Linked DNA regions of Macaca mulatta. The protein of the gene in region 1 interacts with the protein of each later gene in a biochemical or structural test. Links are inferred from orthologs where the notes say so. Each region holds a gene or a part of one and is shown in the gene's direction. Other genes may lie near its edges.

The links. The genes of interacting proteins can lie anywhere in the genome.
Region 2: the proteins of TRIM28 (region 1) and FBP1 form a complex in vitro, tested with the Homo sapiens proteins (2 studies listed by BioGRID). The link is inferred for Macaca mulatta from reciprocal best matches to the Homo sapiens genes TRIM28 and FBP1.
Region 3: the proteins of TRIM28 (region 1) and IRF1 form a complex in vitro, tested with the Homo sapiens proteins (2 studies listed by BioGRID). The link is inferred for Macaca mulatta from reciprocal best matches to the Homo sapiens genes TRIM28 and IRF1.
Region 4: the proteins of TRIM28 (region 1) and MAGEC2 form a complex in vitro, tested with the Homo sapiens proteins (3 studies listed by BioGRID and IntAct). The link is inferred for Macaca mulatta from reciprocal best matches to the Homo sapiens genes TRIM28 and MAGEC2.

Annotation. Positions count from the first base shown.
Region 1 is NC_133424.1:70,682,148-70,686,177, forward strand, and holds the start of TRIM28 (transcription intermediary factor 1-beta), read left to right. Parts: upstream 1-1,222; 5' UTR 1,223-1,520; coding exon 1,521-1,860; intron 1,861-2,189; coding exon 2,190-2,302; intron 2,303-2,528; coding exon 2,529-2,661; intron 2,662-4,030. UniProt on the Homo sapiens protein: Nuclear corepressor for KRAB domain-containing zinc finger proteins (KRAB-ZFPs).
Region 2 is NC_133420.1:128,832,765-128,836,974, forward strand, and holds the start of FBP1 (fructose-1,6-bisphosphatase 1), read left to right. Parts: upstream 1-1,403; coding exon 1,404-1,573; intron 1,574-4,210. Other genes in the region: uncharacterized protein LOC144334803, read right to left, coding at 986-1,141, 1,208-1,405. UniProt on the Homo sapiens protein: Catalyzes the hydrolysis of fructose 1,6-bisphosphate to fructose 6-phosphate in the presence of divalent cations, acting as a rate-limiting enzyme in gluconeogenesis. Plays a role in regulating glucose sensing and insulin secretion of pancreatic beta-cells.
Region 3 is NC_133411.1:141,396,331-141,400,380, reverse strand, and holds the start of IRF1 (interferon regulatory factor 1), read left to right. Parts: upstream 1-1,243; 5' UTR 1,244-1,286; intron 1,287-2,320; 5' UTR 2,321-2,325; coding exon 2,326-2,412; intron 2,413-3,776; coding exon 3,777-3,876; intron 3,877-4,050. UniProt on the Homo sapiens protein: Transcriptional regulator which displays a remarkable functional diversity in the regulation of cellular responses.
Region 4 is NC_133426.1:148,497,603-148,501,715, reverse strand, and holds the start of MAGEC2 (melanoma-associated antigen C2), read left to right. Parts: upstream 1-1,306; 5' UTR 1,307-1,420; exon of another isoform or gene 1,421-1,503; intron 1,504-2,155; 5' UTR 2,156-2,249; intron 2,250-2,557; 5' UTR 2,558-2,623; coding exon 2,624-3,745; 3' UTR 3,746-4,113. UniProt on the Homo sapiens protein: Proposed to enhance ubiquitin ligase activity of RING-type zinc finger-containing E3 ubiquitin-protein ligases.

The DNA of each region.
Region 1 (4,030 bases):
ACTAAAAATACAAAAAATAGTCGGGCGTGTGGAGGCGGATGTCTGTAATCCCAGCTACTCAGGAGGCTGAGGCAGGATAATTGCTTGAACCCGGGAGGCAGAGGTTGCAGTGAGCCGAGATCGCGCCACTGCACTCCAGCCTGGGCAACAGAGCAAAACTCCGTCTCAAAACAAACACAAAAAGATTTCTTCTTTTGAGATGGAGTTTCGCTCTTTTCTCCCAGGCTGTAGTGCAATGGCATGATCTCGGCTCACTACAACCTTCGCCTTCCGGGTTCAAGCGATTCTCCTGCCTCAGCCTCCCGAGTAGCTGGGAGTACAGGCGCCCGCCACCACGCCCGGCTAATTTTTGTATTTTTAGTAGAGACGGGGTTTCACCACGTTGCCCAGGCTGGTCTCGAACTCCCGACCTCAGGTGATCGACCCGCCTCGACCTCCCAAAGTGCTGGGATTAAAGGCGTGAGCCGCCGCGCCCGGCCACATTTTTTTCGATCTGTTGTCTAGGCTGGCGTGCAGTGGCACAATCCCGGCTCACTGCTGCCCCGGCCTCCTGGGCTAAACGGAGCCTCCCGATTCGCCTAAGAAAATGGTGGGATTACAGGTATGAGCCACGGCGCCCGTCTGTGATCTACATTTGATTTAGGCAACTTTCTGTGTTTCTCAAGTTTAACTATAACGTGGTTAAAATTCAAAAGTCAGCCCCTGCTCTCACACAGGCGCTTCCTCCCTCCTGGGATGGAGCCTGTCCTCCCCTCTCCCGGGGCACAGCCCTTTACTCCGTCTTGGCCCCGCCTACTTCTCCATTGGCCCTGCCCCCTATCCCGAACGCTTAGTGACGCAAAGGCTGGAGACGACTCTACGCGAGCGAAAAGACGCGGGTTGAGGAAGAGTTACGGACTGCCCATGCGCTTGGGCGCACAGCGGCCCGCTTCGGTGTGGTCTGGAGGTGGAGCTGAGAGGGGAATCACACTCTATAAAGGTGCGCACACCCCACTGGCGGATTAAATTGCGGCAGTGACGTCACAGAGGGACCGCCCCGCCCCCACAAGACCCCACCGACGTGGGGTTGGCCGTGGTGGAAGGACCCGGAGTGGGCGCGTGCGTACTGGCAGCCTCTCCCGCCCCGACCGGCCTGGGCCCCGCCCCCGGGCGTGCGGCGCCCAATGCGCGTGCGCGGCGGCGTCGGCGCCAGTTATTTCTGTCCCGCCCCCCGGCCTCGGCTCTTTCTGCGAGCGGGCGCGCGGGCGAGCGGTTGTGCTTGTGCTTGTGGCGCGTGGTGAGGGTTTCGGCGGCGGCTGAGGAAGAAGCGCGGGCGGCGCCTTCGGGAGGCGAGCAGGCAGCAGTTGGCGGTGCCGCAGCAGCGTCCCGCGCGCGGCGGGCAGCGGCCCAGGAGGCGCGTGGCGGTGCTCGGCCTCGCGGCGGCGGCGGCGGCGGCCCAGCAGTTGGCGGCGAGCGCGTCTGCGCCTGCGCGGCGGGCCCCGCGCCCCTCCTCCCCCCTGGGCGCCCCCGGCGGCGTGTGAATGGCGGCCTCGGCGGCGGCAGCCTCGGCAGCAGCGGCCTCGGCCGCCTCTGGCAGCCCGGGCCCGGGCGAGAGCTCCGCTGGCGGCGAAAAGCGCTCCACCGCTTCTTCGACCGCGGCCTCGGCCTCGGCCTCGGCCTCGGTGTCGTCGCCCGCGGGGGGCGGCGCCGAGGCGCTGGAGCTGCTGGAGCACTGCGGCGTGTGCAGAGAGCGCCTGCGACCCGAGAGGGAGCCCCGCCTGCTGCCCTGTTTGCACTCGGCCTGTAGTGCCTGCCTAGGGCCCGCGGCGCCCGCCGCCGCCAACAGCTCCGGGGACGGCGGGGCTGCGGGCGACGGCGCCGGTAAGTACGAAGTGATCGGGGCCACCCCTCCCCCTACTCTCTGCCTTTGATTCCCACTGGGTGCAGAGATGAGGATGCCACCTGGGCAAGAGGATGGGGGCCCGGACAGTGCACGGGGAGTACTTTCTGGGTCCTGCATAGGAACGTGGGTTTGAGCTGGCCGCTGAGATGAGACATCTGACTAAAGTTGGAGAAAGGGCTCAGGGAGGGGAGGGGAGGGGCTGCCTCGCTGCGGGGTAATGGTCGGGGGCCCACCCAGCACGGGGATGCGGGGGGCCATAACTTGGGTGGGAACTTGTAACAGTCTCCCACATCCCTGCCTCTTGAAGTGGTGGACTGTCCCGTGTGCAAGCAACAGTGCTTCTCCAAAGACATCGTGGAGAATTATTTCATGCGTGATAGTGGCAGCAAGGCTGCCACCGACGCCCAGGATGCTAACCAGGTGCGTCCAACCGCAGCAACCACAGGGAGGTTTCTGGGGAGGGGGCATCTGCCCAGGAGGAGCTTGACACCAGCTCCCAGGCTGTTACTCGACTTTCCCAAGGCTCTGGGTGGGCTGTCTAGGCTGGGTCAAGGGACCAATCTTAATCTTGGGTTGTATTTTCTGAGGTGTAGATGTGGATCTAGCAAGTTGTCTTGCTTTCTCTGACCCTGCCTTTGTCTGGCAGTGCTGCACTAGCTGTGAGGATAATGCCCCAGCTACCAGCTACTGTGTGGAGTGCTCGGAGCCTCTGTGTGAGACCTGTGTAGAGGCGCACCAGCGGGTGAAGTACACCAAGGATCACACTGTGCGCTCTACTGGTACGTGAGGCTGAGGGGGCTGTTGCTTTCCCGTGTGTGCCCTCAGTTGCTTTTATAATGTTGGTTGCATTTGGTGGATGGGTCCTAGAGTTGTCCAGGGGGTGCCGCCCGAAGGGCTGGAGAGCAGAACTCCAAAAGCAGGAAAATTGTGGTTGTGGTGTGTAGTCTCTAGGGCTTAGGTGGGAGGGGGTGGGAAGGGGAGACGTGGAGACCTTAATGTGCTGCAGGGAGGTACAGAGGGTTTGAGGAAGCTTATCAGGGAGTTCTCAGTCCTGGTGTTGAAGGGCTCAGAATATGCAAACAGGGAAAGGCATGGTGTGAAGGGCTTACTGGGTTTGTGGTTCCCTGGCACACATCTGGTATAAGATGCTGTTAGGGAAAATGAGACTTTGTGGGTCCATGGGTTATAAGTGATGGTGATTTCTGGAAACGTTTTAGCTTTTGAGTTGGCAGAGACTTACCCGGAGTTTGGTTTGGCATTTCCAGCTTTTCGCAGACACTCGCTAGCTTTGATTTGGAAAGGAGCTTGAGAGTCTTTTGAGTGTAGCCCAGTTTTTGGGCCAAAATCCTCCCATGAGTGGCCTTTTGGTAGCCATACCGTGATTCTTCCCATCCCAGAGGCCAGCATTGGTGGAAGATAGTGGGAAAGTGGCGGCTGTGGGGCCTGAGGAGCCAGGAGGGATAGGCAGGGGCTGCAGGGTGTCCTACATTCCAGACGTCCCAAGCAAAGGTCAGGGTGCAGGAATGGTGGCACTGGGGAAGTCAGTTTCCCCAGTGAGCCCTGATGCTACGTATTTTGGATTTGGTTGGTATGTTGGACCACTATGCTTAATCGGTTTTCTAATGGGGAAGCAGGCTTTGAAGGTTATTAATGTGTTGGTCTTGGGGTGGAATTATGCTGAGCACCAAGCTCCTGGTCTAGAGGGGGTGTGACCACCATTCTGAGGGTCCTAGTTTGACATTTTATCTCTCCCAGTATGAGAACCTCTACAGGTTTTCTCTGGGCTCTTGGGTTGTAAGAGACCCTGGTGTTTTCTTGTCACGAAAGAGGGAGGAAGTTAACCATGAAAGGAGAAGAAAAGGAGTCCAGGGTGGTTTGTAGGCAGAATTCTGAATATGTCCACTTGGAGAATAAAGGGAACAGTGTGTGTGGGGGGGTAGTCCTCTTTTTCCGGAGGCTGTCCTTACCTTTACCTTTGTGTCACCTCTAGAAGCTAGAAGAAAGGGTTGTGTTTCTCAGCTATGTTGGGGCAGAGGTTTCTGGGAGCAAGGAATTGGGCTTGCAGGCCTGTGTTCTTCGCTGGCCACACCCTCTACATCTTCCCAATAAATGGCCCAGTGTCACAGAATGGGCAGGAAATGAGGCCCC
Region 2 (4,210 bases), on another chromosome or scaffold:
GGGCAGCACGGGCAGGTGGACAGGGGGGCAGCACAGGCAGGTGGACAGGGGGGCCAGTGACAGGACGGGCAGGTGGACAGGGGGGCCAGTGACAGCACAGGCAGGTGGACAGGGGGCCAGTGACAGCACAGGCAGGTGGACAGGGGGGCAGTGACAGGACGGGCAGGTGGACGGGGGGGCAGTGACAGGACGGGCAGGTGGACAGGGGGGCCAGTGACAGGACGGGCAGGTGGACAGGGGGGCCAGTGACAGGACGGGCAGGTGGACAGGGGGGCCAGTGACAGCACAGGCAGGTGGACAGGGGGCCAGTGACAGCACAGGCAGGTGGACAGGGGGGCAGTGACAGGACGGGCAGGTGGACAGGAGGGCAGTGACAGGACGGGCAGGTGGACGGGGGCCAGTGACAGGACGGGCAGGTGGACAGGGGGGCAGTGACAGGACGGGCAGGTGGATGGGGGGGCAGTGACAGCACAGGCAGGTGGACAGGGGGGCAGTGACAGGACGGGCAGGTGGACAGGGGGCCAGTGACAGGACGGGCAGGTGGACAGGGGGGCAGTGACAGGACGGGCAGGTGGACAGGGGGGCAGTGACAGGACGGGCAGGTGGACAGGCCTGGGCAGGGGCCGGGCAGGAGGCCGCGCGGGCGGGTCTGCGGAGCGGGGGCTGCTGGGGGTTTCGCTGCCCAACTGGGGCGCTGAGCAAGTTACTCAACCTCTGTGAACTTCCGCGTCATGATTGTGGAGGAAACTCCGGCAAAGAAACAGCTTTTCTCTCCGGCGGGTCCGACGGCCCGAGCCCCGCCCCGCAGCGCAGATGGAGGGCGCGGAGGCTGCGGGGGCGGCGCGGGGAGGGTCCGAAGATCCGGCGGGCGGAGCCGCGGGCTGGGCGGCGGGAGGCGGCGCGGGGTGTTCCCGGGGGTGGGGGCGGGGCCGACCCGCGGCTAAAGGTTCCCGGTTCACCCGCCCGCGCCGGGCCTGGCCCAGTCTCACCGCGAGCGCCGCGGACACTCGGGGCCGCAGTCGGTCTGTCCGTCCTCCCGCCAGGTCCCGCCCCGCACCTGCCCCCGCACCTGCCCCCACACCTGCCCCCGCACCTGCCGCCGCACCTGCCCCCGCACCTGCCCCCGCACCTGCCGCCGCACCTGCCCCCGCACCTGCCGCCCCGCACCTGCCGCCCCGCACCTGCCGCCGCACCTGCCGCCCCGCACCTGCCCCCGCACCTGCCCCCGCACCTGCCCCCGCACCTGCCGCCGCACCTGCCCCCGCACCTGCCCCCGCACCTGCCGCCGCACCTGCCCCCGCACCTGCCCCCGCACCTGCCCCCGCACCTGCCCCCGCACCTGCCGCCCCGCACCTGCCCCCGCACCTGCCGCCGCACCTGCCGCCCCGCGGCCCGGCCCCAGCATGGCTGACCAGGCGCCCTTCGACACGGACGTCAACACCCTGACCCGCTTCGTCATGGAGGAGGGCAGGAAGGCCCGCGGCACGGGTGAGCTGACCCAGCTGCTCAACTCGCTCTGCACGGCCGTCAAAGCCATCTCCTCCGCGGTGCGCAAGGCCGGCATCGCGCACCTGTGAGTCGCCTCGGGCGGGGCCCGTCTGTCTGTCTGTCTGTCTGTCCGTCCGCCCGGGGAGCCTGTCCGGCGCTGGGCCCTCTGGTCCTCCTGCGTCAGCCTCTGTCTGTCCGTCTGATGTCCGGGCGCCTCTCTCGCTCTGCGTCTGGTGGCCCCTCTCTGCGGAAGCTGGCTCAGCCTCACTCAAGTTCTCACCCCCTCCCTTGACCTTGGAGGGGCCACCTGGGGGTCCGTCTCGCAGGTGCACGCCGGATTCCATCCTCGTGCCCCTCTCAGCCGGCACCTGGCCTGCCCGTCATACCCGCCCTGGCCTCAGACAGGAAGTGCTGGCTCAGGTGCCTTCCGTCCCCATCTCTTCTTTCTCTCTTTCTGTGATGAGGCGCCCAAGTCAGGTTTCTAGTCCAGTATCTCTGACCCGAAACGAGGCTTGTTAGGAGCGAGTGTCCCCCTCCCAAGCAGGCTGGAGGTCTCCTGTGTGTCCAGAGCCTTTAGGAGCAGCAGCCTGGTGTGCAAAGGAGCTCCCGTGGGCTGCCCCTTGCTGGGACCGTTGCCATGCTGTGCCAGAAAGAGGAAACACCCAGGGCTTCAAAACCCTTATCCATTTGCAATGACGGTGTGTGCAGCCCCCACCCAATTAGTGGAAAGCTCAAAAGTTGTTTGTAGAATGGTTTCGAATGCTCTGTGGGGTGCATCTCGAACGTCACTGGGCACCGGAATCATTGGGGATCTTGGTAAGACGTGTGCCCTCTTTCCGTCGCTCTGGGACGGGTCCTGAGATTCGGCATTTCTGAGAAGTCCTCCTGTGGTGGATGCTGCCGGTCAGATACTGTGTGTCTGCTGATCTCATTGTGAGTAGCAAGGGGTCAAGGCGAGGGGAGACTCAAAGGACCCCTTCTTGTGAGGTTTTTGTAAGTCACACAACATCCTTTCGTTTGTGTTGGTGTGCACAGGTATTTTCTTTTTCTTTCCTTTCTTTCTTTTCTTTTCTTTTCTTTCTTTCTTTCTTTTTTTTTTTTTTTTGAGACGGAATTTTGCTCTTGTTGCCCAGGCTGGAGTGCAATGGTGCGATCTTGGCTCACCGGAACCACTGCCTCCCGGGTTCAAGCGATTCTCCTGCCTCAGTCTCCCAAGTAGCTGGGATTACAGGCATGTGCCACCACGCCCAGCTAATTTTGTAATTTTTTTTAGTAGAGACGGGGTTTCTCCATGTTGGTCAGGCTGGTCTCGAACTCCCGACCTCAGGTGATCCGCCTGCCTCGGCCTCCCAAAGTGCTGGGATTACAGGCATGAGGCACCGTGCCCAGTCGTGCACAGGTGTTTTCTAGCTAACTGATCCACACTTTTAACTAAAGGGTAACTGGGTTTTCAGATTGTCCATACACCTTCCTAACATTTCCTGCACTTACGTACGCTATAAAAATGACACATGATGGACCGGGCGCGGTGGCTCACGTCTGTAATCCCAGCACTTTGGGAGGCCAAGGCGGGTGGATTGCCTGAGGTCAGGAGTTCAAGACCAGCCTGACCAACATGGTGAAACCCCGTCTCTATTAAAAATACAAAAATTAGCTGGGTGTGGTGGTGTGCGCCTATAATCCCAGCTACTCGGGAGGCTGAGGAAGGAGAATTGCTTGAACCCTGGAGGCAGAGGTTGCAGTGAGCCAAGATCGCACTATTGCACACCAGCCTGGACGACAAGAGTGAGACTTCATCTCAAAACAAAAGACACATGATGCTCAGAGCTGACCTGAACAAATATAATCCCACTACTTTGGTTTGGAATGCATGTCTCCATTTTTAAAATCTCTTCTCCGCCCCCCATCCTGCAATCTAGATTCCTCTTCTTACTGGGAGGCTGTCTGGCGTTGGTCCCACAGTATGGATTGGCGGAGATCATTCATGTAAAGGAGTTGTATGATCACATTTATTTTTGAATATTAAGCAGACATGTTAAGGAAGGCGATGACTCCATTGCTGTTGCCTCTGGCCCCTCTTAATAATACATTCCTAAGGATTCTTACTTTAGAAACACACCCAGGTGAAATCTTATTCAAGCTTTAATTTACAGCTATTATAGGTGGCTCACAGCTTTAACTGCCTTTGAGGACCAGGGATATATTTTAAAAAGAGGGCTGTCGACTGGGTGCTCACACCTGTAATCCCAGCACTTTGGGAGGCCGAGGCAGGTGGATCACCTGAGGTCAGGAGATGGAGCCCAGCCTGGTCAACAAGGTGAAACCCCGTCTCTACTAAAAATACAAAAATTAGCCAGGCATGGTGGCGGGTGCCTGTAATCCCATCTACTTGGGAGGCTGAGGCAGGAGAATTGCTTGAACCCGGGAGGCGGAGGTTGCAGTGAGCCGAGATTGTGCCACTCTACTCCAACCTTGCGACAGAGTGAGACTCTGTCTCAAAAAAGTAAGTCTCAGAAAAGAAAAAAAAAAGGGCTTCTCATGTCTGATAGCTTAAAAAATGGTCAGTACCTGTCACACTCCTAGAGAGACTTAGAAATGTAAGATGTGTTTTGAAGTGTCCCACTTCCTAAGTAACCTTAGATAGTGGGACCTCAGATAGTGAGATTTTGATAGTAGGGCCTGGATGAAGCATGCTAATTTTGGCTACAGAAGATATGCGTAT
Region 3 (4,050 bases), on another chromosome or scaffold:
TACTTCCATTGAGGAACTCCCATACGCGGGCCACAGGGAGGCTCTGGAGGCGGCCTGTGTATTAGGAGGGATCAGAACTACCCCACCCCCACCCTCACTCAGCCATCTGGGCTTCTCTGAACCCCTTCTCCTCCTCTGTTCCCTAAGGCCAGCCAGGGGGAGTCCCAGGGAGGCAGACCAAAAAGGGGTGGGGTGTCATCCTGGTCACTATTAGACCCTGGAACGGCGACCTTGAAAACTACTCAGCGTCTGTTGCCCGAGTGGAGCATAGTGCTTTACAATCACAGCAAACCATCAAGGTAGGGCTACTGTTATTTTATGGTTGAAAAACGGAGGTCCTGAGTCCCTTGGGGGCTGTGCCAGCAGCGGCCAAGTTGAGATTTCCCCTGGTTCAGCAGCCCCAGACAGCACACGGTGCAGGGTAGGCTTTCTGCTTCCTTCACTTCCCCAGGGCAGGTGAGTGACCTGGAGAAAGGGGGTCACCCCTAAAAACAGGGGTAGTGCTAGGACTGAAACTCTCCCTTCTTGATACCCCACTGGCAAGCTTGAGGAGCCAGGTTGCCAGTCGGGAGATTCGGCCGGTGTTCCCCCTGGAGAGGGCGGCAAGTGCCCGGGCGATCCCCTCACCTGCGTTCAGGAGATAGACCCCCGCCCCCAACCCGCCAGGAGGGTGAAAAGATGGCCCCAGGAGCCAGCCGGCTGGGAGAAGGCGGAGTGAGAGGAGAGGCTGGGGCCGGGGGTGCCGGGCTGTCCAGGGCAGCCCTCCTCCGGGCGAGCCGGAGCAGGGGTGGATGGGGAGCGCGCGGGGCGGGCCCGTGGTGGCCCCGGGGCGGTGGCGCCCGGCCGGAGAGGGTGGGGCGGAGCAGCCGCCCTGTACTTCCCCTTCGCCGCTAGCTCTACAACAGCCTGATTTCCCCGAAATGACGGCACGCAGTCGGCCAATGGGCGCCCGCGCGGCTGTCCGGAGGCGGGGCCGGCCAGGGCTGGGGAATCCCGCTAAGTGTTTGGATTGCTCGGTGGCGCCGCTGCCCTGGCAGAGCTCGCCACTCCTTCGTCGAGGCAGGACGTGCGCCCGAGCCCCGCCGAACCGAGGCCACCCGGAGCCTTGCCCAGCCCACGCCAGCCGTGCCCAGCGGCCTTGAGACCCAGACAGCCTCTGCCTTCTTCCCCCTTCCACCCGGAGTCGCGCTCCGCGCCCCCTCACGGCAGCCCCTGCGTCGCCGGGACCTTCGCGCGCCGCCGCCGGGACCTTCGCGCGCCGCCGCCGAATCGCTCCTGCAGCAAAGGTGAGTCCGCTTTTGCGGCGCGGGGGACCGGCGGCGTCGAATAAAAGGCGCGCGGGGCACCAGGAAGTGGGGGTTCGAAAACCCCAGGTTGGAGACTCGCGGGAGCGCGGCGTTGCCCGGGCCCCCGCGCGGGCTCCGGGGGGCGCCGGAGGAGCTGCGAGCCGCGGCGCGGGGAGGGCGGGCCGCGGCGTGGACCGCCCACCCGGACGAGGCTGCCGGCGCCGGGCAGCTTTCGCAGATATGCGTGCGCGCAGCCGCTGGGGGCCTGTAGGTGGCCCGCTACGTTCGTCCCGCGCATCCACACGCCGTGCCGGGGACCGAGTGTCCGCCCACGCGTGGGCGCCCAGTGCTCCCGGCTTTCGGCGGTCCCAGCTTCGCGCCCAGGCCCCAGGTTTTGGGCTCCCTGTGCTGGTGACAAGGGCTGGCTTACTGCCCAGGTGGCTGGAGGGAATCGTGACCTACGGAGACTGCGGGAAGAGGCGCCACAGGTGTTCCTTGGGCCGCTTCTCCAGAGGAGGGGAAACCGGGCCGGAAGGGTTAGCGTCCTAGTCTTAGCGTAGTGGGCTCTGTGACTGTCAGGAGGGCGTAGAATGGATTCAGGGGGGCTGTTCAGGGTGATGGCTAGCCCTTTACTAGCTAGTGGTGACAACTCAAGTCAAGGGAATTTCTTCTTGGCATCAAGCAAAAGAAGTCCCTCCCTTCCCAAAGGATTTGAATTTTGAGCGAAAAGTTCTGAAATTAGGATATCTGTGCATTTTCTCTCTTTTCCTGCACATGAATCCTAAAGCCATCACTTGCATGCCTGTCTCATCCAGAGACTGGCTGGGATGGAGGAAGGGGCAGAAGCATTTTTGCCTAAGATGCTGAAAAAACTTGGAGAGCAGTTTTATTCCAGGGCAGCTCCCCTCCCCACTGAGTGTAGTACCTAGTAGCTGGCTGAGGGGAGGGTAACTAAGTGAACTCGGGTGGGGCAGGTCAGTGCCCAGGTACTGTTCAACAGATTCCAGACTGGAGCCTCTGTCTTCTCTTTACAGCCAACATGCCCATCACTCGGATGCGCATGAGACCCTGGCTAGAGATGCAGATTAATTCCAACCAAATCCCGGGGCTCATCTGGATTAATAAAGTGAGTGTAACTCTTTGGGTTTTCCTGCCACTGTTTTAACCCATGTACTTCTGGAGGGACCAAAGCTTCAGATGCAGCTCAAAAAGGGAAGTGATAACAGGACAGGCAGATGTTTCTCCCAATGGGTCCTGCATGCAGGGAGGGAGTGTGCAAGGCCCAGCCTGGGCCTCACTTGCACGACTCCTGCTTTCTTCCCTTCTTGAGGTAGGGCACCCACCTGAAGGCACTTCCAGTTTCCAGCAGCAAGACTTTCCCAGCATCTGCAGAGCTGGAGTTCTGGTCTCCTCTGAGGGAGACCCTTACAAACATACACAGCACCTTGCAGGGCTCTAATCAAACAAATAGAAGACTTGAGAAGTGGATGCTGCTGGGCAGAAAGGTGGCTGGCTTAGCAGAGGACAAACGAATCAATCTTGCACCAGTCACTGTGGCCCAAGAAGCCTATAGCTGGTGCACTTGGGGCAACATAGACACTATAGGCTTAGTAGCAATGATAGTATTCATAATAATAGCTAATGCTTACTGAACACTCTCTGTGTGCCTGGCACCTGCTACGTATGTTATTTACATTGTGTCATTTAATCCTCGCAGTAGTCCTGTGGGGTAGGTCCTGTTCATGTCATCATTTTCAGATAAGTAAACAGAGGCACTGAGAGGAAGATTGTAAGATCACACAAAAAGTGATGAAGCCAAGATTTGAACTTGAATGGTCTGACTCAGAAATCTTTACTGTTAACCATCAGTGATAATAACAGTAAGACCTTAGACTTCATATTTGTCACTGTGTCCCTACACATTCTCTGGTTTTTAATTCTCAAAATTTTGTTGGATATGTTTTCTCATTTCAGAGAAGAGAAAACTGAGGGGAAAAGAGATACAGTGACAATGCCAGGGTTACACAGTGTTCACCATCCAAGTCTAGCTCCCTCAGTCGTATGACCAGGACCTCTTGTGTAGAAGCCCATGGTCCCAGGTGTCCTGAGGAGTCCTTTCTAATGGAAGAAGTTCTTACTTCCATGTTGGTGTTTACAAGCCAGAGAGAAACATCCCAGAGCTTCAAAATCAGGGCTTTGGGGGAGGGTGCCCTGTGTGGGTCCTAGCACATGTGTAACAGGCAGAGGGAGGTCTTTGTGAGCTAATAGTGCTGCAGCTCATCCGAACTAGGAGTCCCTCCTGAGAGATCCCGAGTGGTCTGTTTAAGCCAGCCTAAAGATGGGTCAGTCCAAGCCAGATGGCAGGGGGAAAAGGGGAAGTCAGCCTTTTCTCAGACCTGTCTGGCTGGGCAAGCCTGGGTCTCAGACTCAGCCCCAAAGTCTGTGGCCTCTGAGCTGACACAGCCTCGTGTATATGTGTGTGTTGTTCAGGAGGAGATGATCTTCCAGATCCCATGGAAGCATGCTGCCAAGCATGGCTGGGACATCAACAAGGATGCCTGTTTGTTCCGGAGCTGGGCCATTCACACAGGTGTGTGCCTGGGACTCAGGCCTAGGAAGGCCAGGGTAGAGACAAGAGGAGGCACTAACGTTAACACAGAGGCTCTTCACTGGGGTCCCTGAGCTCCCTGAGACAATATGCAGAATTACTGGGAACAGGGGCTGGTGGCAGACTAGTGTTTCTGGAGAAGAGAGTCCATCATTT
Region 4 (4,113 bases), on another chromosome or scaffold:
AAATACTAAATGTAAGAGAAGATATAGAATAACAGAATTTCTCATTCCTTGCTAGTTGTGATAAAAAAATAGTACAGGCATACTTTTAAGTCAGTATTTTATGAAGCTAATCATATGACAAATTAGAAAAGTTAAAATTATAGGAACTGAAAACAGAAGAGAGTTGCTAGGAGCTTTGTAGAGTGCAGTGATTGACATCAACCGGGATGCACAGGAGAATTTTAGGCAGGTGGAACCGGTCAGTATGATACTTGATTTGCAGATATGGGACTCCATGCATTTTCCAAAATACATATAACTTCACATTCTAGTTAAATCTGATGTGTGTATTTAAAACTTTAATCACGTATTGTTTTTTTAAAGGGTCACGGGTTGCTGAAAAGACAGTGATTTTTGTTCAGGGACTAGAATAGGAAAAGAAGCAACAATAAGGAAGCCTTGTAACACACAGGCTATGGGAGAGATGATATTAACTTCACTCACAGCAGTAAAGTAGAAAAACTTGGAATGGAATTTAGAAGTTGAAGGAACAAATGTTGCTGTCTGGACAGGAGAAGGAAGGAGTATAGGCTCTTTTAGAAGTAATACCTTGAGAAAGCCATAGGGGCCTTCCCACCCCATTTCAGAGGGCAGTGGAGGCCTGCCTTAGGGCCAGGAGGCCCTATCCCACTGTGGGTGGATGTGATTCTACTTCTCTTCCACCTTGCAGGTCTCAGGGATGGGAGGGGCTTATTCGCAGGTGAAAGACTCAGATGCACAGAGACAGGGAGTCCAGGCCATTTCAGGAGTCCAGGCACAGCCTCTCAGGAGGGCAAGAAGGGAACACCCATGACCGGTAGTGCCCTCTGTCCTGTCCCTGTGCCTGCTGCCAACTCTGGAGGACCCCATCAGGGTCCCCAGATGTACAATTTTCTTACTTCTATTTTGGGAGTCAGCAGAAGGGGAGGCTGTCTCTGAGGAGGGCAGCTTCAGTTAAGCAGAGAGAGAAGTCCCAGAACTGGCCAGAAAACAAGAAGAGATGTGGAAGGACGGTGACCTCCCAACACGGAGGGGAGGTGCAGGCTGCACCAAGTCGCTCCCTGCTGACACCCCTGGAAAAAGGAGGGTGGGATGTCAAGGACTGGGGAGGTGGGAGTGAAAAGGTCCACAAGGTTTAGGGAGTGAGCAGGAAGGGTTGGAGGGCAGCTGGGATGTGGGAAGGAAGGGATGGAAAAGAAGCGGAGAGGTGGGGAGTGGTTCCTCCCCAGAGAGGAGGCCCCGCCCCACGTTGACGCTGCCGTCAGCCCTGGACCACTACGGCCGGGTTCCCGGATGTGCTTTCCAGACGGCCATCTTGGGAATCCAAAGGATCGGAGGCATTTTGCAAGGAGATTCGAATCAAGTCAGCGGCGGGGAGTCTTAGACCTGGCCAGTCCACAAGGTGAGGGCCCTGAGGAAGAACTGAGGGACCTCCCACCATAGAGAGATGAAATCCCGGCCTGCACTGCCGCTGCAGTGGGACTGGTAGGTCCCAGACAGGAAAATGCCCACAGAAGAAGGGAGGAGGTGCCAGCCCTCTAGGGAATAAATAGGAAGACATTGAGGAGGACTGGGGGAACCCCCATCTCAGAGGACAGATTCCCACAGATTCCCACCCTGCTCCTCGAGAATCAGCCCTCGTAGAACTCCCCTGCCAGCTCAGGCTGAGTGGCAGCCATCTCATTTCTGGGTGAGGGATGGAGGGGAGGCAGAGGCCTTGTTCTGGGGGTCCCGTGGCAAGTCAGCACGGGGAGCTGCCTCTGGTTGGCAGAGGGAAGATTCCCAGGCCCTGCTGGCGATAAGACAGAAGACAGGAGTCACATGTGCATCAGAACGGACGTGAGGCCACCCAGACCACCTCCATGGTAGAGTCCTGGGAGGTGGCTGCCACTGCACTACCTCCCACTGCTCTCAGGGATGTGGAGGTTGCTAGGAGGTTTTGCCTTAGGCCAGCAGAGTGGTGGGGGCTTGACCCTCTCTGAGAAGCCGTGAGGTTTCCAATTAAATTCTGAGGGGGCCATGCAGTCCAGAACTATGGGGCTCTGGGATTCTGGCCAGCCCCAGCTGTCAGCCCTGGGAGGCCCAAGACTCTACTTGTAGTCTTTAACCTGAGGGGCTCCGTCACTTCCTCTTGCAGGTGCTCCAGGAACCAGGTGGTGACAAACTGGGTGTGAGGCACACATCCTAAAGTCAGCACAGCAGAGGAGACCCAGGCAGTGCCAGGAGTCAAGGTGAGTGCACACCCTGACTGTGTACCAAGGGCCCTACCCCCAGAAACAGAGGAGACCCCACAGCACCCGGCGGTACCCACCTACTGTTATTCCTGGGGTCTCAGGCTCTGCCTGCCAGCTGTGCCCTGAGGTGTGTTCCCACATCCTCCTACAGGTTGCCAGCAGACAAACTCCCTAGGAAGACAGGAGACCTGTGAGGCCCTAGAGCACCACCTTAAGAGAAGAAGAGCTCTAAGTTGGCCTTTGTCAGAGCCATCATGGGTGAGTTTCTCAGCTGAGGCCATTCACACTGTCACTCTCTTCCACAGGCCTGTTGGATCTCATCATCCATATCCCTGTTGATACCTTTACCTGCTGCGCCTGAAGAAGTCGTTATGCCTCCCATTCCGGGCGTTCCATTCCACAACGTTGACGACGACTCTCCGGCCTCAGTTGAGTCAGAGGACTGGGTAGATGCACAGGATCCCACAGATGAGGAAGAGGAGGAAGCCTCCTCCATTTCCTCTTCCACTTTCTACTTAGTATTTTCCCCCTCTTCCTTCTCCTCATCCTCTTCTCTGATTCTTGGTGGTCCTGAGGAGGAGGTGCCGTCTGATGTGATACCAAGTCTTCCCGAGAGCACTCCCAGTAGTCCTCCACAGAGTCCTCCACAGGGTCCTTCCCAGAGTCCTCTGAGCTCCTGTTGCTCCTCTTTTTCATGGAGCTCATTCAGTGAAGAGTCCAGCAGCCAAAAAGAGGAGGATACAAGTACCTGTCAGGGCCTGCCAGACAGTGAGTCCTCTTTCACACATACACTAGATGAAAAGGTGGCCGAGTTAGTGGCGTTCCTGCTCCTCAGGTACAAAGCAGAGGAGCCTGTAACAGAGGCAGAGATGCTGATGATTGTCATCAAGTACAAAGACTACTTTCCTGTGATACTCAAGAGAGCCCGTGAGTTCATGGAGCTCCTTTTTGGCCTTGCTCTGATAGAAGTGGGCCCTGACCACTTTTCTGTGTTTGCAAACACAGTAGACCTCACTGATGAGGGTAGTGATGACGAGGGCATGCCGGAGAACAGCCTCCTGATTATTATTCTGAGTGTGATCTTCATAAAGGGCAGCTTTGCCTCTGAGGAGGTCATCTGGGAAGTGCTGAATGCAATAGGGGTGTATGCTGGGAGGGAGCACTTCATCTATGGGGAGCCCAGGGAGCTCCTCACTAAAGTTTGGGTGCAGGGGCAATACCTGGAGTGTCGGGAGGTGCCAAACAGTTCTCCTCCATATTATGAATTCCTGTGGGGTCCGAGAGCCCATTCAGAAAGCATCAAGAGTAAAGTACTCGAGTTTTTAGCCAAGCTGAACAACACTGTCCCTAGTTCCTTTCCATCCTGGTACAAGGATGCTTTGAAAGATGTGGAAGAGAGAGCCCAGGCCATGACTGATACCACAGATGATGCCACTGTCATGGCCACTGAAAGCCTCAGTGTCATGTCCAGCAACCTCCCCTTTTCTGAGTGAAGTCTAGAATAGTTTCTGCGCTCTGTGTTTGAACAAGGCAGTTTAGGTTCTAGGTAGTGGAGGGCCAGGTGGGGCTCGAGGAACATAATGTTCTTTGCATTTCTGTCCCATATGGGCGATGTGGAGATTTACCTGTTTTTCAGTACTTTTTGAATGCTTTTCCTTTGAATAGCAGGTAGTTAGCTTCAGAGCATTAATTTATGAATATTGGTCACACATGTATTGCTGTTTATCTGGTTTAAGAGTAACAGTTTGATATTTTGTTTAAAAAAAATGGAAATACCTTCTCCCTTATTTTGTGATCAGTAACAGGGTAGTGTGGTATTGTAATAGGCTTTTTGTTTGTTTGTTTGTTTGTTTTTTACAAT